Lonchura striata: one gene and its partner. The protein of the gene in region 1 interacts with the protein of each later gene in a pairwise test. Links are inferred from orthologs where the notes say so. Each region holds a gene or a part of one and is shown in the gene's direction. Other genes may lie near its edges.

Evidence for each region.
Region 2: the proteins of PER2 (region 1) and CRY1 interact in a two-hybrid assay, tested with the Homo sapiens proteins (5 studies listed by BioGRID, with this or other methods). The link is inferred for Lonchura striata from reciprocal best matches to the Homo sapiens genes PER2 and CRY1.

Annotation. Positions count from the first base shown.
Region 1 is NC_134612.1:2,126,179-2,136,618, forward strand, and holds the start of PER2 (period circadian protein homolog 2), read left to right. Parts: upstream 1-5,835; 5' UTR 5,836-5,944; intron 5,945-6,156; exon of another isoform or gene 6,157-6,256; intron 6,257-10,440. UniProt on the Homo sapiens protein: Transcriptional repressor which forms a core component of the circadian clock.
Region 2 is NC_134607.1:20,961,095-20,971,138, forward strand, and holds the start of CRY1 (cryptochrome-1), read left to right. Parts: upstream 1-5,857; 5' UTR 5,858-5,972; coding exon 5,973-6,130; intron 6,131-10,044.

The DNA of each region.
Region 1 (10,440 bases):
CCCTTGAGCTGCACTTAGTAAAAGGCTATAGTTAAGCATATACCAATTTAATACAAGATAATCCACAAAGATGGGACAGATTTCAGATATCTTTGGTTTAGTTACTCTCTTGAGCAAGTTGCCAAAGTTGTTTATATCAAAGGGATTTATCAAAACACACTTTGTATCAACCCTTCACCCCCTGCTTCTATATTTCAATGACATGTGCAAAGTGAGCTGTCCTTTGTCTTTTCTTTCTAATTGATTAGAATTAAACCAACAGAATTTCTGATTGCTTATCAGAAACTTCTGTTTATTGATAGCATCTGTAAAACTTTGTTTACTGAAGTCTCTCTAATTGGCTTAGTACAAGGCACTTTTGCAATGCCTGATTATTAAAATCCCTGCTTTGTTTCCAGTAGTGTGGCCAGGTACATCGGGTTTTCTTCCTGAAGCAAACTCAGGCAGTCACTAAACACCCTCTCCTGAAAACAAACGCAAGCTTCCGCTGACTTCAGTAGCAGCAGCGAGCAGTTCAAAACAGCTCAAGTGTGAACGAAAGCCGGAAAATTAATTGACACAGAGGAGTAATGGGAAATCCAATCTGAAAATGAAGTGTTTTTAATTAAGAAACACTCTCCAGAATTATACAGAAAGACACTCTTTCCCATTTAAAATTTGGCTCTTCCTTCCTAAACAAGTACAAATCACCGGTCTATAATTAGTACTGTTGTGGAAGGAATGGCTGAATGTCTGGCTGGGGTCAGGCCTGTGACTGTGACAGGGAGGGCAGTCGGTGTGCTGCACCTTTCTGGTTAGTTCGCCATTTAGCATCCAGTTTCTTGCAAATGTTTCTGTTATAGTCTGTTAATGTTATCATATTTGTTCAGAATGAAAACAAAGCAAGGAGGAAAGGTGCCTTGATTCCAAGTAGCTGAGAGCAGCAGCACGACTACCTTGGACAATGATTGTCAGTTTACCTGTGAACAAGTCCAGCTCCAATCCCATGCCAAGACCTAATCCAACACTTTATGTAATGATTATTTAATAAAAATTGTATAAATGCTCACTGGTGGGGAAGTCTGTACCCAGATGTTTTCTCTCTACCCTTACTCTGTAAAGGAAGGTATGTCTCTCACTGAATTTCTCTAAGAGATTGGTAACATTTCACTCTGCAGCCGTGAGCCTGAAAGCAGCGCATAAATGAGATGGGGGGCAGTAAACTGAGTCTGGTCAGCAAATACAGAGTTTAAATCACTGCAAAGCGTGTGCATTAGGAACCAGTGGGGAGGCAAGGGTTGTAATACACAGTGGTACAGGTACAGAACCATGTCCTAGGCCTGGATGCTCAGATGTCTGTTGAAGAATTTGGATGTCTCAAGAACACCTTCTAAATACGGGCACATTTAATCCAGAAAGGTATGAGCATCTGGTATCAAAAGCTGTGGAAAGTCTCACTGCCATTAAAAGAGCTTTTCAATGCCCTATCCATGGCATATCTGGACTTGGGAATGTGCTTTCTCACCAAGGAATATTCAGCAGCTTACAGGCAGGAAACAAACCCAAGGAGCTTTCTGGGAGATTAACAGTGGAACTGGCTTGCTGAGGTCCCAAGGAAGCAGCAGAGTGGGAAAAGGAACAGTCAAGACCACGTAGCCATGAGTACTTGGTGGCAGTGGTGCCAACCCCTTGATGGAAGTGAAATGCTAGATCAGCTCATAAATGCTGTGAAAGCTGTCTTTGGCATAAGTGTCTGGATGCTTTTGAATGGTGAAGCCCAACCTGACGTAATCACTTTCTTTCAGGGCAGAAGAGGATGTCTAAATCCAACACAGTAGGCAGGATTGAGGATGCACTTTCCTGCCTGGCATCTCTTATTAACTCTCTTATGCTAATCTAATGACATGCAAATTTCATTTTAAGTGCCTAACTCTATAATTTGGTGTTCTTCTTGGTCTTGGATCCTCACTCCAGCTCAAAATATGTTCTTTGATCCCGTTTTGGTTTGGCTTTTGTGCTCTCACAGCTGTGATGTAATCAAACCAAAAACTTCTTTCATGGGATATTTTCAGTCAAGTCGGTTTCCTAATCTAAGTACCAGTACAATTGCATAATCACTGATTTTTAACTCAGTGGAGGTGGTAGGACTGTTCCTCTTGGTGGATGTTTAAGGACTTTGATCACCTTAGGCAGATCATGAAATCACAAACTATCACTCTCTGAGTTATGCAGGAAGCTTTAAACCCCTATTCAGCACAGTGAATTCAATGTCAAGTTCTCTTCATTCAGCTTTCTGAGTGGCTGACTGCAGAAAATGAGTTGCTAATACACACTAAACAGCAGGATCTCAGACCTGGACTAAAATCATGCTCATGGGCTTGTGGATAAGCACATAGAGGTATAGTGGGGGGAGATACACCCCTTCCATTTGTATCCTTCTAAAAGAAGAATTCAGGGCTCCTTCATGTGTCATTTTTCAAGATATTTGGAACATAAAATTACACTGCATTTGCCAAGAGAAACTGAATTTAATAAGAATAGCAAGAAAACAGTAAAAATAGGGACAGAATGAAAACCTGCTCTCCCCAGAAGTTGTTAGCAAAGGTTTTCTGTCTGGTGACAAGCAGACACTTGTGCAAAGGAATTCTGAACTGCAGCATATTTCAGGAACTTGCTGCTTGAGTTGAAGTTCTTTATAATGTTTTTTACATTCCTTTACATTTAATGAAAGCATTTTCAAAACTGTATGATATTTCTGTCTATTTGTTGCAGTTGATTCCTACACCTGCAATGCTTTTAGAAAAACCTGTCCATATATTTACTGGTAATGAATAAAATGGGTTTTTTCCTTTCCTCCTCCTTTGTCTGCACAGAGAGTAAGAGTGACGACTTTTGCTCATTAGCAAAAAAAGCCTTTCCGGATCTTTGCAAGAATCAATGACTGTCAGCGTCAGTGTAAATGGTGAGTAATTAAGACTAGGAAATGAAGAATTAGACGTGGGTTCCAGCTGTAAAGTATTGATTGTTTTTTTTTTTTTAATAATACACAGTTCCGTCAGTGCTGTGGAGTATCTTTGAACAGGCGACTTCTACAAGTGGATAGGGAAGCACAGTTTTTCAAAAAGGAGTCTTATTTCCTTAGCAAATCCAAGCAAGCAGTCCTCAGGTAGTTTTTCAGGTGGTCTCAAACTATTATTTTTCGATATTGAAAGACTTGGATTTTTTCCCCCTTTAAAAATGTAGATACTGTCAATAAGTTGCTGCTTATCAGACTGAATTGCTTCAGTTAAGCAAAAATTCTACTTTTTATATATGCTGGGAAAAGGTTCGGCATTTGCGTGTGTGCCTAAAAAACTACTGATGTAAGTGCGGGAAGCAGCGGGATTGCACAGAAAACCCCCAAGGAGCGGCATTTTCCCGCGGGGCCGCAGGAGGGAGCCGGGCAGCGCTGGAAGCTGCGCCCCAGCGCGCCGGGCAGAGCCAGCTGGGGCAGTGCCAGCGGGGACCTGGTGCACACACACACACATTTGTACTGCCATGCTCCAGGAGTTACAGCTGAACACACACGCACACAAAATAAACAAAGCTGGGGAAAAAAAACACCAGCATTTTAATGCTTTTCTTACAAGCTTTGTGTTCTTTAGAACCATTTGTGTGTGCATATATGTATTTTACTCCTGCCTACCAGACAAAGTGACCTTAAAAACAAACGTGTAGAACCCATAAAATTTTGCAATAACTTTATTTTGCTCTGTTCCATAGTAGATGAGTCAATAGCAATATTCACTCCTTCAGAAGCCATGTGCACGCACTCATTTCAAATTGGAGATGCCTGGAATAATTTGTATCTGCACACATGATTTATCTTGTGCCAATTTTCTGGAAGTTGCAGAATTTGGACTGAACTCAAATTCACATTTTGAGTAACACAGCTTACCATGTTTTTTGCTACATTAAATATAAAGCTGTAACTACTAAAAGGTGGTATGAACAGAACTTAAAAATCATTCCCATAAGTGTGACTGAAACAGCTGATTAGTATCCCTTTAAAATAAGCAGAACTCAAGTAATGCCTCTGGTAGTTACCGGGGTGGGAAAGGTACTGGCTATTTGTGGTGGTGGGGGTTACTCTTCTGCCAGGACTGGCATGTCCTGCTGCAATGGGGAATGTGTGTCCTGGGAACTCATTTAGCTCTAACACAGTGCCATGGTTTGCCATCCTTCTCGTATTTGTGATCTGATGGGGTGTGGGACAGTGTGGATCTCAAGGTTTCGCTTTGGTTGAAGTGCCTTAGTTGGAGTCTGTGCTAAAAGACTAAAGCCCTCAGCACACAGAGAGGGATGGGTATTTTTGGCATGTAACACGAAAAACAACATCCCATGGAAACCAAGAATATTATTCTACATCCCTTTAATCCTAAAGCAGAGAACTGACAAAAAGACAATGAAATTCTGGATGTGAAGACCTACCAACAACAAGTTGACCAAACTACATAAAGACTGCCTAATTAGGATTAATCTTAAAATTAGACTCCTCAGAGGAGCGCAAACTAAGAATGGTATCCTGGTAAGCTGACTTGTGCGTTGCAACAAATCCAGTTGCAGAATCTGGTTCTAATGCTTCCGCTGCCCACCCCCTCTCCTCTCCAGCAGTTAAATACTGCACAGTCCTTTACTCACAGGCTGTTTCTGTAACAGTCAGAGCATAAATACCTGTGTATCTAATGGACTTATCCTTAACACTGCAGTGAGGAAGGGAAGTGGCATTAACCTCATTTTGCAGATAAACAGTAGAAGCCCTGATGGTTGTCCGGTGTTTCATCCTATGGAGCAACTGCATACATGCAGTGAGTGTAAAACGCTGTCAGCCCGAATGTGGCTTTGGCACATTCTCTGCTCCTTCTTTGCAAAGTCATCTACTACAGCGGAGACAGAGGAAACTCAGAATACACATAAAGTAACATGAATTTCTCACTTACCGATTGCTCTGCTTAGCCTTGGGAGATGTGGAGACTGGAGCAGGGCCGAGGTGTTCAGCAGAGGATTATTGGGTTATCTCACTGAACTACTCAGGTTCTCGCACCAGTGTTGGATGGATGGTGCAGGGGCCTGAGCGCAAACCTGTGTGACTGATGTATAAGAATTCATTAAATTCTTTATTACTGTAAAATGGGAAGTGTCAATGGTCTCTGAAAGTTTTGATTCAACAAAAGCTGAAAAACTTCTTTAAACAGAGAAGTTTTTAAACACAATTCTTTAAACAGTTGGAATGGAAAGCCATTGTATGGTAACGTGTCACCATGCAGAAATACTGTTGCCGAGAACAGTACATACATTTAAGAGCTCGGAAATTCTTAGATCAATCATGGTTGTAGCTGTTCAGACTGATGCTGCCGGCCGGTCCGGGAGAAAGCTGCAGCCCTACGCTCTGCTGCGCTGCCCTTTGCTTTGTGACCCGGCGCAGCCTGAACAATACGCGGGGGCACTTTGGAAACCTCAGGGCGTGCACCCAGCGCGGGCGGCAGCACCGGGAAACGGGATACGGGCGCTGCTGCCTTATGTAAGCGAAGCAAGCGCCGGCAGGGTGAGCCCCGCGGGCTGAGCCCGGCAGGGTGAGCCCTCAGGGTGAGCCCTCAGGGTGACCCCCTCGGAGTGACCCCTCAGGGTGACCCCGGCAGGGTGACCCCGGCAGGGTGACCCCTCAGGGTGACCCCCCAGGCCGCCCCGCCGCCCTCAGGGCGGGCCCGCTCCGGGCTCGGCCGCCAACGGTCTCCGCCCGCGCGCGCGCGCGACACGTCACGCGCGGCTCCGAGCGGGCGGGGGCGGAGCCGCGCTCCCCGGGGGCGTCACGTGACCACCGGCCCCCAATCCATCCTCCCCGGCCCGGCGGTCCCGTAGCGGCGGGCGCGGGCGGAGGCGAACGGAGCTACCGCGGCTTCGGCGGGAGGCGGCGAAGGGGCCGGCGGTGAGTGCGCCCCGGTGGTGGCGGCGGCGCGGGGGAGGGGAGGGGCGGGCCGGCGGCGGGGAAGGCTCGGGAGGCGGCCGCGGCTGTCGGTGGAAACATGGTGCCACACGTGAGGCTTATGTAAAGTGAGCGGCGGCCCGCGCGGCCAATGGCAGCGGCGCGCGCCCCGCCCCCGCCCGCGCGTCCCGCTGGCGTCAGGCGGCCGCGGCCAATGGGCGCGCGGGCGGGGCGGGCGCGCGGCGGCCGGTCACGTTTCTGCCCGTATGAAGCCCGAGCCGGGACGCGCCGGGCCGGCGGGACGCGCCGCGCGCGGTGAGTGGGGGCCCGCCGGGCGCGCTCCGCGCCGCCCGAAGGGGCCGGGGAACCCGCGGGGAGCGGCGGGAGGGGGCGGCGAGCGGCGGTCGCGGGGGGCACGGGGGTTCCCCCGCCTCCTCCGCCCGCCGGGCCGAGGTTACGTAACCCGCGCGCCGGGGCTCTCCCGTTGCTGGGACGCTGCGCGCGCGGGGCGCTCCCGTTCCCCGGGGTCCGTCCCGCTGCCGGCCCCGGCCCGCCGGGGAGGGGGCACTCGGGGCTCCCTCAGAACGGCGGCTGTGACACGCCCCCCCCGCTCCCCGTGAAACCGCAGCGAGGGAAGCGGCGGCCGGCCGTGAGTCGCTTCCCGGGGCGGGGTGCGGGGCAGAGTGCGGCACGGCCCCCGCCCGTCCGGGAGCGGGGGCACCGCGGGGCCGGGGCGGCACCGGGCTCTCCGGGGGGCGGCGCTGGCCCCGGCCCGGAGCGGGGGAGGAGGCGGCGGGGCCGGACCCGGTCCCCGGCGGGCTCCGCTCCGCCGTCCCTGCCGGCCGCGGGCTGCGGCCACGTCCGTGCGAGGGGCGCGGAGCGGGGGAACCGGCGGGGAGCGCGCGGACCCCGGGGCGGCAGTGCGGGGGGACCGAGCCGGCTCCCGCCGGCCGGGCGGGCTGCTCCGCGGGAGGAGCTGTCAGGCAGCGAGGAACCGATCTCAGCGCTGCCGAGATGTGTGAGCTACAGGTAGAGCAGGCAACAGGTGCTGTCCATTTGTTTCTTGTGTTGCATGTACCTGTAAGACACTCTGTTCCTTGAGACGTGTGGTTGTGCTGCTGTTCACATTAGTGCATAGTATTACATGCATGATTACAAAACCCTTTATGTAAGTACAGTTTCATGCAAATTGGTGAGCAGCGTGGCAGCAGTCAAGCTGACGCTTTACATTTGACTTTTCGTAATAGGGTAAGTATTTAATAAAGGGACAGCATTTCTCTGTGTACCATAGGAGCTTAAAAAGGCCTCACAGGAGGTTGGTATGAGGTCCCAGGTACTTGGGAAACTACCGTGCCTCACAAGTGTATTCCAGTGAAAAAGTAACTTGGCTGAGACTGTGCACTGATTCAGATCAAAGAAACAGAATCATTAAGAATTGTAAAGACCTCTGAGATCCTTAAGTCCAACTGTTTTGTCCATATGTCCAATCTAAATCTACCCTCTTGCAGTTTCAAACCACTGTCTTTCATCCTGTCACCACATGCCCTGATAAGAAGTCTTTCTCCATCTTCCTTATAAGCTCATGTCTTTCTTTTCCAAATGCAAGACTTTGAGATTTATTGTCTTGGATATCTGAGATTGAATAGTTATCACAAGTAAAGGGAAAGAAGTGGAAATTATCTAGTGATTCTAGTGGTAAGAGTATATATCAAGTCAGAAGTAGAGTAAAAACCTGATTAGTATGGTGAGAAAACATTCCAAGTTGCCAGTATTGTTTCAGCCACAGTTTGATTTGTGTTAGGGAGAGTGCCCACATTGTTGCACTGTAACATCAAGTTCCTTCTTGCTTATGCTTGTACAGGTTTGAGTGCTTTTATGTTCTTTCTGTTTTACCTTTGTCTTTGAAACTTGCATGATTTCTGCAAAGTGGGGAAGTTTCACTGAAGGACTGGACTGTGTCCTTGCTCCATGTAAAGCTAGATGTTAGTCTTGAGAAGATGACAACACTGTCCTGAGGTGTGGAGTCCTGATTCTGAACTGTGGAGGTTGCTCACCTCACTAGTAACACACAGAGGAAAAGAGATGGCCTTTGGCCTGGAGTAGAAGAAGAAAAGTAAACCAAAACCTTCAGGTTTTGGCCATTTCAAGTGTGTATTTCAAGGCAGAAAGAAGATACTTTAGTTGGGTGTCATAAATGTGTGTCTTTCACTACAGTGAAAGAGGATAGTCTATCCTTTGTTGGTTTGGCTTGATGTAGTTCAGAAGGAAAAGACATAGAAATAGTTTTTTTTCTTTTATGCACTTCTTCATATTTGGCAAGTTTTTTTTATTTTGTTTATAATTCAAAGACTGCATGGTTTTGCTGGAATTTTTTTTTATTTGTCCGTTGGTGGGACTTGTTATAGACTTTCTATATTCATTTTAGCAAACAAATTCTGTCGGTGAAAATCTAAGTAATCCTCATTTTTACAATTTTCTGTTATTCATTTTAGATTTCCACATAGAGGCATTGAAGAGCCAGCATATTCTTGTCATAATACCTTCTCTGCTTTCTCTTCCTCCAGTCATTTGACTGTAAAGTGTCTAACAACACAGCTTACTTGATAAACTTCCTCGAACCTCTCCTTGAACAATATGCTCTTACAGTAATAAACTTTTTTAGTAAATGGAGATATTGATGGAGTTTAGTCTCAAAGTATGAGAATAGAGTGAAGTGGGGAAAGTGATTGGCAGTAGAGTTCTGGATGTTTCTTCTACTTCAGACATTTATTATGACCAGGAAGTGTTTGGCTTAGATACAGACTGATAAACAGTTTTCTTTTTCCTGGGTTCTTGCCTCACCCTTATTTCTCTAACATCTTTACAGTATTAGAATATGCTTTACTGCATTAAAAAAAAAAAACTTTTATTGCATTAAAAAAAAAATCACCTCTGAAAGAATAAGGAAATGAACAAGTTACCATGGGATGAGGTATATTTGTTACGGTTTAAAAGCAAGAAGATTACCAGTAGCCAGTAGAACGAGTAAATTATCATTAGTCTAGATCAACTGCAGTGTTTTCCATTGGGTTGCTATGGCTGGCCTATGTTAAAAGGAACGTCATGTTCTTAGTAAGGCCTTGTGTAATAGCTGGCATGAGTGTCCTGTAGACACTGTATTATACTCATAACATTACCACATTATAATTATTAGATAATCAGGTGTTTCTGAGAAGGAGTTTTTGTCTCCAGTTTTGATTGCATGGCCTAGAATTCCTCTGTAAGGATGGAGGATTATTGAGATTTTTAACTGGATTATCTTACTTCATTCATACTTTCCACATTCAGTTACATCCCTGTAGTGCAAGTTTTAAACTGCTTAAATATTCATTATGTTAACTTAGCTTGTTAAGCACTGAACAGCAACAGAGTAAATTAATACCAGTATTATTCTTTGTGATACTGTTGTGCTACTCAAAAGGGCTTTTACTTGTTCTTTTGGTTATGGATGAAGTTGGATGCAGAAAGCGTTGGTTTGAAAGTAATGCTGCTGCTGTTTTGTGTCCTGTGTAGAAAGTGTCTGTCTGCTTTCCTGCTTTAACTGCTTCCTTAAACTTAAACCCTGCTGTGGGGTCAGGCTGCAATATTACTGGTTGTTGTTAGTGCAGAAGGCTTTTCTTAAGTAGAACTGACTTTTTAAAAGTTACATTCCCTTTGCTTGTAGGGCTCTGCCTTCTGACACTTAGAGCTTTGGTTGTGAGGGGATGAGGGTGTTTCTTTTTAGACTTCTTTCTGTGAAGTATGTTTAAAGGACATGGGAAAAGAGAAGGTGGCAGTCAAAAGCACAGTTCAGAGGGTGATAGTTTTGCCATCTCTTGCTGGGATTTCTTGCAGCCCCAAGCTCCTTTTGTGAAATAGTGTGGCAGAGACGACCAGAATGAGGAAGAGTGGGATGCTTTGAGTGTCTGTGAAGCGAGTGGAGATCTCTGCAGTGACTCTGCCGGGAGCCAGCAGCCGTGTGTAGTAGGCAGGCACCGAACACATGGGAGCGCGCATGCCGGGCTGTCCGTGCCGGGATTGCTGCGCGGCTGAGCGGCTTAGCACATCACCGGGCACGCCCCTGCAGCCTGTGGCGCCCTCCTGCCAGCGCTGCTGCGGCATGGGCAGGCTCCGGGCCTGTGCTTTGCATTGCTGGGCGACCTTCAGGTGTAGATGGGATCTTGGTCTGAATGGCTGCGCTGGGTTTGCACCACCACGGGATCCTCTTACTTGGTTCTCTGTCCCTCCCGAGGAGTTACCAAGGGACGGCAGCAATACACCGAGTTTCTTGTGATCTGCCCAGGCAGTGGTTCTGAAGTGCACTTTTTCCCTGCTTATCCACATATGAAAGGGAAGTTATGAGAATTTGTGTATGTGAGAGTTTTTGTACAGATGTGCTGGTGATCTGCTGCTGCTGAAGTAGTGTGTGGTAGTCCTAGAGGAGCCTTATGAGTTCTCTTACGATTTTGGTAATCCGATTT
Region 2 (10,044 bases), on another chromosome or scaffold:
AAAATTGTTTGGGATGTCAAATAACATTTCCAAAGTACAAACTCGAAAAATAACCATGGCTTACTTTTACTTTAATGTGTAATCCTGCTGTTAAACAAAATTGCCTTGTGAGTAATGCAGTCCCTTAAAATACTGTCATTTTTACTATTATAGAAATTTTAAATTATTCTGATGTAGTAAATTGTGCTCTTCTAAAATCTGACATGGGAATGATTGTTTCATTCATGTAAAAGAAGCCTTAAATTTTCTAAAAATGCCTGGGATCACAGTAAATTTTTCCCTGTTGTTAGTGAGGATCATCAGAAACACAGAATACTGTAAAAGAAAGAAGTTTATTTGCCAAAACTCATTTGACAGGGGTACTCAGGATCCCTTGTAAAAATGCCCTATGCAAAAAATAACATGAATGAATTTGAACATTATGGCGTTCTATAGAAACCAAGAAGATCCGAGTTATGACTTGACAGATTTCCAAGTCCATAGATTACAGTATTCACATTTCAAGTATGTAACTGCTTTCAAGAATTCAGAGTTCTCTCTAAGCTCTTGTTGGATCTAATGTGCAGGACCCCACACAATTGTTGGATAATGTTCCAATGTGCAGGACCCCACTGTAACCTGTAACTTTTCACATACTTAGATTGCTGTGGGGATTGTAAAGCAATTGGGAGATTAAGGGAAAAAAGCCCAGCCAGCTCAGATAAGATGCTTGCTCTCACTGCCTGCAGCACCCTCTCACCACCAAGTGTTAGAACAGCAATAAGGAAGTGAGCTACTGTCAAAGTTACCTGTGATCCTGCTTGCTAGCACACTTGCAGAGACCTGAATATACACAGTAAAGGGGTGCTGTAAGTTTCAGTATTTAATGAGACTTCTATGTAAATCTTCTATAGGAAATAGATAAAGGGATCAATTGGTTGATTTATCCCTCATGTGAATTTCTGAATATGAATTTTTTAAGTATCGCTTTTTGAAAATTAGCAAACCCAAACTTTTACTCATGCTGGGTTGTTCACAAAATCTTTCAGTAAAGAGGGCAACCGTATGACTGCTGACCGCTACAATTCTCATAACAGGGAAACTTAGTAGGCTGTAAAGAATTAAATGAAACTACCGAATGCCTAGATTGAACTTTGAGTGAACCTAGAAGAGTAGGTATCTACCTAGAAGACAGCAGTGTAGACAGGGTTTGAATGGTTTGTGAAGAAATCTGGGGTGGTGAGAGGTTGCAGTTTTGTAGATTAATGCACAGTTAATGTTTACACTTATGCATTTACAAAAAATTAATCCCTGTTTTGATTAGTGGTGGAAATTAGGTAAATTATTATAAAATACATGCTAGACCAACATAAAGCTTTCTAGAAAAAAATGCAGAGGATCCTAGAGTAATCCAGTTTTGAAGGGATCTCAAGAGCTCAAAGTAGGGTCTCCAGGATCCAGGCTGCTTTTTTCAGTCAGGTCTTTAAAACCTCAGCGGATGGAGCCCATCCACCTCTGTGGGGTACCTGCTCCACTGCTCAACTTCCTCATGGGGGCAAAGCTTTTCCTTACATCCAGGAAAGAAAAGACATTTGAAAAGTTCTTAAGGACACGCCACACTATTTAAACCACTGGTCATTAAGTGGTGGTGCTTTCAGCACAGACAAAACGAGGGTCTCCGGCACAGCCTGCTCCCACAGCCCTGCCACCTGGGCCTCCCTTTCCCACCCTTTGGACTCCGCTTGGGGGCGGAGAGGCAGGAGGCGGGTGTTCTCCTGCAGCCAGCACGGGAGAAGCGGCTGCAGGCCCGGCTGCCGCTCCTGCCGCAGCCACCGGCGGCCGGCACGGGGGCCCGGGGCCGGGGGTCCCTCCCCGCCGCGCATCCCTCGGAGCAGCGCGGCTTCTCCCCTGCACGCCGCCCGCCCCGCATCCCTCGGAGCAGCGCGGCTTCTCCCCTGCACGCCGCCCGCCGCGCATCCCTCGGAGCAGCGCGGCCTCTCTCTCCCCTGCACGCCGCCCGCCCCGCATCCCTCGGAGCAGCGCGGCCTCTCTCTCCCCTGCACGCCGCCCGCCCACCCTCAGCGCCGGCGCTCGGAGCGGGACAAGCGGAACGCCAGCCGGCCCCTCCGGCCCCCGAGCCCCGCTGCCGCGGCCGCGCTCACCGTTCTCGCCGCCGCCGCGCCGGGAGCGCCGGCCCGTGCCAGCGCCGGCAGGGCGGGGCGCGCTGAGCCGCGGCGCGGGAGGACGTGGCCGAGCCGCAGCGCGACCCGGCCCAGCCTCCGCCGCTCGAGAAGCAGGCTTGGCCGGCAGTAGGAGAGTGAAAGGCCGTTGGATTAAAACAGCTTGCAGAGAGAAGTAGTGGGGTGAATAGGAAAGAAATGTTTTGATAGTAATTTCTCAGTAATATAATAGCAAAGGATGGAACATTTAAGTCAGATTACTCGAGTGCCTTTCCTCTGACAGGAAGCAGATGATCCTTTTGATTTAATAATGCCGATATCATGATGGGAGGCTTGCCTTACACCAGTGTATTTTCTTCATATGGCCACTACTTTATTACATAATTAAGTTCACATCTAGTCATTGGGCTTACATTGTTTTGCTGGTGGCTTTTCAGAAGTTCATTGAACTCTGATGGTGAGAACCATCTTCTTCTATCTTATTTTTTTAGCCATATCTACTTAACTTTCTCATCTAGAGTAACAAATTAGCAGTCACTTAAATTATTTCTAGACTAGAAATATTTTACTAGAGGTGTTGGGATTTTTTAACTAACTCCAAGTCTGCACAATCACATCTTCCAGAGAGTGAAAAATCACTACTGTTGTCTCCGTGAACCCTTCTTGTATCAGCTACACCTTCAGTAGTCTCTGTTGGGTCTGTAAAAAAAAGCTGATGAAGAAGAGAAATGCTATAGGAAGAAACTTCTGCTCTAGGAACAGGGTTCAGGGTTCAGGAACTTGGTCTCCTAAATAACAGCTGTTTCTAGAACAGTTAACAAAGTCCGTGAATATAATGCATATAGTAATGTTAAAAACATGCATCTAAAAAAATAGCTTCCAATTTGTAACACAAAAGGTACTGTACACTTGCTTTTTTGTTTTTTTTTTCACTTCATGCCTTCATGTTATCTTTTTCCCCTTCTGGGCTAAATTAGCAATATTGTTTAAAAAAATTAGTCACATGAGAACACTGTAGAGAGGTTTACTTTTGTGAGTTCCTTGATTAACTGTCGTTCTATTTTCTACTTCAGCTAAGTTAGAGTGGTTCTTCCCTTGAGATCTGACATTTTAATTAATATAGTCTGCATCTATTATATATTAATATATCCTAATACAATATTAATTATACATTAATATGTTCTTTCTCTCATTTCTGAGTCAGGAACAAACTGTCTCACATAGAAGGCATGGCCAGATAGAGCCAAAGAGTATTTTACATAATTATATGCTATTGATATACTGCAATTGTTATTCAGCCTGTAGCAACAAAGAGCTTAGAGACTGATGGTTTTCATGACTGCAATTTGTTTATGAAACCATAAGGTCTAGTGAGGAAGGGCTGTTTCCAGTATTCCCAAGAAGGCAGACTGGTTGATGCTGGACTTTATTTAGGGCTATCTTCAGTGTGGCAGCCTTGTGGGGAGCTAGCAGGACACTTAATGAGTATGAAAAGCAATTTAAATGTTTGAAATAAAAACTATGCTGTGAAGTGACTCTCCTTAAAAATAAGGAATCTACTTCTTCAGTGTTCAAAAATTATAGAATTCAAATGAGTTTGATGGACAGTGGTCATTAACTACTGAATTCCTTTTTGGTTTTTATTTATTTCAAAATCATTTACCAAATATTTGGCATATGATAATAAAAAAACACCAGACAAATAAGGATGTACTTTATATTAACTGGGAAAGCAGTGTTTGACTTTACAATGACCCCACTATGCCAGCTCTGAGTTGCAGCCAGGATATATGACAGGATCCCATATGTTCTTCTTGAATCAGAATTATGAACTGTGGAATATGGTATTCTACATACAACAAAGTGATAATTGAGAAACTCATCATAATTATGCTGTTGTTAAAGTCAGTGCTCAGAAACTGTTCACTCTCCACATGCTACACCTTTTAAAAAGAAATTTTGTGTAAGACCAAGCAGAAAGATTCTAATCCTGGCTGGGGCCTTGGCATACCTTGATTTTCAAGGACAGGTGGGGCCTTGTCTGCCAGGCAAGGTGTGACAGGACAAGAGGACAGAGCCTCAAGCTGCACAAGGGGAGGTTTAAATTGGACATCAGGAGGAATTTTTTCACTGACAGGGTTATTAACATTGGAATGAGCTGCCCAGGGAGGTGATGGAGTCACCATCCTTGGAGCTGTTCAAGAAACAACTGGACGTGTCCCTCAGTGCCATTGCCTAGCTGAGATGGTGGTGTCAGTCAAAAGTTGGCCTCAGAGTTCTTTTCCAACCTAAATGATTGTGTGATTCTATTACTGTGTTTATTAGGTCATTCAAAGTGAGGAAAGAAAAGCACAAAGGGAAACACACGATGCATGTGTCTATTCTTGTTGACTTTTACTTTCTGTGGGTCTTAGCAGAAAAAAATATTTTAGGAGAAGGAAAAAAATGACCGTTCTTAAAGAACTGTCTGGAATTCTCAAAGTTAAGAAAGGTCTGTACTGCTGATTTGGGTCCTCTGCCTTTTACTTGAGACATTCTTTCTAATGAGACCACTCCTGCTGTTGCTATGCACTTGTCCGTGACGCTGTAGATTTGAACTGCAATCCACAAGTGGAGGTTTAGTTTCAGATCTGCATCGAGAGCTGCCCTGTGAGTCCTGTGAGTGCGATGCCTCCGTCGGCTGTTGGCCGTGCGCACCGTAACCAAGGAGCCGGTCCGGGAACCCCGCTGTGCTGGCAGCACAGACGGTGGTTTGTTTGAGCTCTGTAATTAACAGTGAGAAATTCACCATTTAGTAATGACTTTCCTAACGGTGCCCTAAGAGAGACCATTTTAACTCGTTCAGCTGCTTGAAAGCCTGTCTGGGTGCGGCAGCGCCGCACGGCCCAGCCGCTTTCTCTTGCCCGGGGGTGCCTTTTGACCGACACGTCCCGGCGGCACCGGGCAGCAACGAGCCCTCGTCCCTCGTCACGGAACCGCCAGGGTGGGAAGGGCCCTCCGGGGCTCCGCTGGGCCAGCAGGCGCTCCCTGCGCACACGCTTATGTAAGCGCCCCGCCCGTGCGGCGGCACCGCCGGGCACGGCTCCGGGCGCGCGCGGGCCGCGATACATAACAGGCTCGGGGGCGCGCGCACGCCGGCGCCGCCCGGCGGAAGCGGCGCTGCCGAGAGCCGCCTCGCGGCCCCGTGCTCATCCGGGTCCCGCCGCGCCGAGCCGAGCCGAGCCGAGCCGCGGGGGGGGGGGGGGTGGCGGAGAGAGCCGGGCCCCGCCCCCCGCCGGCGCAGCCCGCCGGCCCCGCGCTGCCGCAGCGGGCGGGATTGCCGCCGGGGTGGCGGGCCCCCGGCCCGCCGCGGAAGCGGGGCCGCCCGGCCGGGCCTCCCTGCCCCGCGCGCCGCCGGTACCGAACACACCGCAGAAACGTGAGGGCCCGCGGTCACGTGGCCGCGGCGCCGGCCAATGGGCGGCGGGGGGCGGGGCGGAGCGGCCGGCGCAGCCCCGCGCAGTCACAGGGCGAGCGGCGAGGAGGCGGCGGCGGCACGGACGGCGCTTTCCGCGGCCAGGGCGCCGTCACCGCCCCGCAGTCACCGCCGGACCCAGCGCTCGCACCTTTCGTCCCCGCTCTCCCCGGCGCGGGGGCTCCGCGGGGTGATGCGTCCCCGGCGGGCGGCCGCTCCCGCCGTGTCCGCCGGGTCCTAGAGCCGTCCCAGCGAGGCCCCGCGGGCCGCCCCGCCGCCCGTCCGTGCTCGCCCGGCGGCGCCGGGCCATGAACGGCCCCGCGGGCGGCGGCGGTTCCCGCTGAGCGCCCGCACCCGGCATGGGGGTGAACGCCGTGCACTGGTTCCGCAAGGGGCTGCGGCTCCACGACAACCCGGCGCTGCGGGAATGCATCCAGGGCGCCGACACGGTGCGCTGCGTCTACATCCTGGACCCCTGGTTCGCCGGCTCCTCCAACGTGGGCATCAACAGGTGGCGGTGAGTGCGGGGCGCTGCGGGGCCCTAATGCCGCGTTATGTATTCGGTCACGCTGCCTCCCCGCCATCCCCTCCCCTCCGCGCCCGATTGGGCCGCCGCCAGCGCCGGCTTCCCGCGGCCGCTCGCCCGCCCCGCGGGCCGGCGGTGTTACATATCCAGCCCGGCGCCGGCCCGGGCTGCGGCGCACGTGGGAGGGACGGGGAAGACGGAACCGGGAAGCCCGCGGCGCAGTGCGGGGCGGTGGGCTGTGGCTTCCCGCTGAGGGGGGCGCTTGTTCTCGCTCCCGAGGGTGGCGGGTCAGTGCCCGAGCGCTGGAGCGCAGAGCGGGGTTGCTGCCGGGCGGAAAACCCTGTGGGGAGCAGCCCGGAGTGGGTTTGCGCCATTTCAGGAACTCTGGGCAGCCGGGAACCCCAGGGCGACACCGTCCTGGAGAAACTGTGAAGCTGCTCGCTTAGCCCAGAAGTACTTTTTCAAAGTAGCGTTCCTGCACGGAAGGGTATCACAAAATATCCTGAGTTGGAAGTGGCCCACGAGGATCGTGGAGTCCAACACCTGGCCCTGCATAGGACAGCCCCAAGAAACCCACCGTGTGCCTGAGAGCATTCTCTAAATGCTCCTTGAACTCGGGCTGGCTCGGTGTGCAGTGTCCCTTTCTGGAAAGTGCGGATTTATTCCTACACCATCAAGCCAGTTGTAATTTTCCTACCCGATATAAAAATGAACTTTACTATGGTGCTGTGACTGACGCTTGCATGCTAAATGTGTACCATAAGGCAGAGGTTAATAGGACTTCTGTGCATGCTTGTCATGTGAGATTAGTTAAAAAATCACTAGGAATCTGAAAATTGTTACCCTTGTAAAATGCTTGATAATGCAGTAAGGTCTGTGTATCATCTGTCCCTCCAATGTCAGGAACTTGAAATGCTAGTGAACTTAGCCTGCCCAGACTACAATGCTGAATAGTTGCCTAATTATGGAACAAGCACAATGAAACTTAACACCACATCATAGACGAATGACAAAGTTTAGAAACTTCAGGTTTCAATTGTGTTTACTTGAGGGATTGTTCCTTTCAGATTTAATAATTTGTATCCTAGCTTATACTTTACCAGCCAGGTAACTTACCTTTGGAGGTTTTGAGTTTCTGGTTTTTTTTCAGATTTTGAGAGGTTTTCCTTACAATGTTCTTGTTTTCAAGAGATGAAAATACTAAAGATGCTTTTTGTAGACTTTAACTTGATGATTATTTCATTCGCACTGACAAAAATAACTTGGGAATAACTGTTAGATACTTCCCTTATCTGAGATTCATCATGTACATTTATTTTATAAGAGACTTAACTCACTTTTGTTTTGAAGGGATAAGGTTTTTTTAATAACATTTTGACTTACTGAAGAGCCTCAGAGGTATTAATTTTGTGGGTGAAACATGAACAGCCACTGAATTTTGTGGGTGAAACATGAACAGCCATTGAAGTTTTAAAAGAATGTGGACAACTGGTACAAGTCTTAAGTGTTAAGGAAATCACATGTCTTAAGAATACTTCATAGGTCTCTAATGTGCCCTGCAGTTGAAATGCTGAACAGTTTTTGGTTGTACTCTCTGAGCTAGTGAATGATAGACAAATGTGAACTTTGGTTCTAGCAGAAGGAAGTTCATGTCTTCAGTGCTATTGCCCTGGATCTTCAGTGACTGTGTAATATTATCATTAGGTAATAGAGTCCTTGAGTTCATCTGTGTGTGATGTATTGCTGGTTGGTTTACTCAAACAGTGTTTTAATCTTTAAGAAGGCAGGTAGTCCTCCCACTACATTTTGCATTTGAAGAAAAATGCCTGGTTTTTGTTGCTGGTTAGAGGGACTGAATTTGGGGTAGATTACAACTCCCCTGTCCAAAGCACATCGAGCAATCTCCTGGTACTCAAATACCGCCAAGGGACATGCTGCACATGGATTTGAGTAGGAAATGTTGCTGCCTTCAGAGCCTGGTTTCATGAAATCGTCAGGTTTTTTTCAAGTTTAAAAGTACAATAGCTTTATAGAATAACTGACTTCTAAAACTGTATGTTTATTAAGTTGCTTCTCAGTCAGTTTTTATTTAAATGAACAGTTACTGGTTTGGGATGAATCCTCGTTAGGTTCCAGTGATTTTAATGAGATGCTTTTAACCAGTGCTGACACATACATTCCCAGTAAGTATACACAAAATCTATGATGCAATTTTTTAGTTTCCCAGTCTTATTTGGCACTTATAATTAATGGAAAAACATTTAATGTTCTTTTTCACTTGATCACTGTGAGCAAAATCCTTGCTTGCGTGCCTGTTGAGTAGGGTGTTGTAGTGAGAAACATTTTATTTGAGACTAGGAGCAGAAGCCCTTCAGCAGTAGGAAGGTGAGTCAAATTTAACCTCCTGGTGTGAATTTACAGTGGTCCTTTCTTAATTTGAGTTGATTGACACCAAGTGTTTGTTGTCCTACTGCCCTGGGCAAAACTCTTCTCTGTCAAACTATGACTAATGCAATCTACATGAGGAAAAATGGTGAAAGAATACAAGAAACCAGGAGGTTCAGCTTCTTGTTAGAATATTGTCATTGTCATTCTGCAGGGTCACCAGTTATGGTTTATATTAACAAATGTGTGTTAAATATAACACACAATAGGTTGCTGGTAAATAGCAATCTTTAACACATAGGTGCTTTCTAATTAACTTTTCTCTTTAAACAGTCATGTAACAATCAGGGAGTAATATTTTTGTGTAATTGCACTATTGAGTAAGTCTAATTACTAAGCAGTCACATGGTCTTACTGACCTCCTTTCTCCTGGCATTCAGCCTACCTGTTCTAAATTAGTGAATGCTACGTAACAAATGCCAGGACCTCCCTCAGTTCACTTCTTCTTTTTTTTTTTTTTTTTTTCTGGGTCTGTTCAGTTTCTCCTTATTGTTCCTTTTTTTCGAGCTGTCAAATAAATCAAGATGTGCTTTCATTGAAACATGTTTTTTCTATGGGATGTGTTCATAATGTTGTCCACAGATCAACACTTGGAGAGAGAAGTTACTTGGTGCAGTAAAAGGTGTAGAAATAAATGGTGGAGGGAGATGCCAAATTGCACTAAGGCTCTCTTAAAATTTTGTCGGTTGCCCTTAAATGTTAGGCGTCAGAATTAGCTTGTATCTAAATTGTGTCAACAAAGCAGGCAAAGAATGTAACTTGCATACTCCAACAAGTAACCATTACCTACTTCTGAAAAAATGTGTTCGTATGTGCTCACAGACTTTTCCATATTAAGGAGAATGGGATTTCATGCTTTACAACATCACCTAGGGGAGAGCTTCACTGGTTTTAGTGCAGAGTGACAATTGATCACAATACCTGAAAAGAAATGGAAACATTGTTAGTTGCTGCATAAGGATTTACTTTAGGTAATAATTTACCTCTTCTGAATTGTCTTTTTTGGGTATATATGTCTGTCTTTGATATGCTAGTTAAAACACTTTTTTAACCATTGATGAAGAGAATGGATTTTACTTTTAAAATAGGAGTAATTGAATTTGCTTTGTATATCTCTTAGATTTTGTGAGAATATTGATGTGTTCAACATTCTTCAAAGTTAGCTGCTGCTATTATTGCAGATAGTGGTATTGGCTTTGGAGAGAGGAGAGAGATGATTTATTTTTCCACACTCAAATTTCAAGCAAATAAAAAAACCTGAGAGGAAAAAAAAAGTTTCATTTCCAGGACAATCACTGCAATTCATGGAAATGGAACTTGTTTTAAAAATAATACTTGGACATCTTTCTGTAGTATCTATTAAATTTTGCTGTTCTATGCATCTAGTTTTGGAAATATACTTACAGTTTCCGCTTACATAGTTATGATTTGTCGAATAGATATGTGTTTGTTGGATGGGG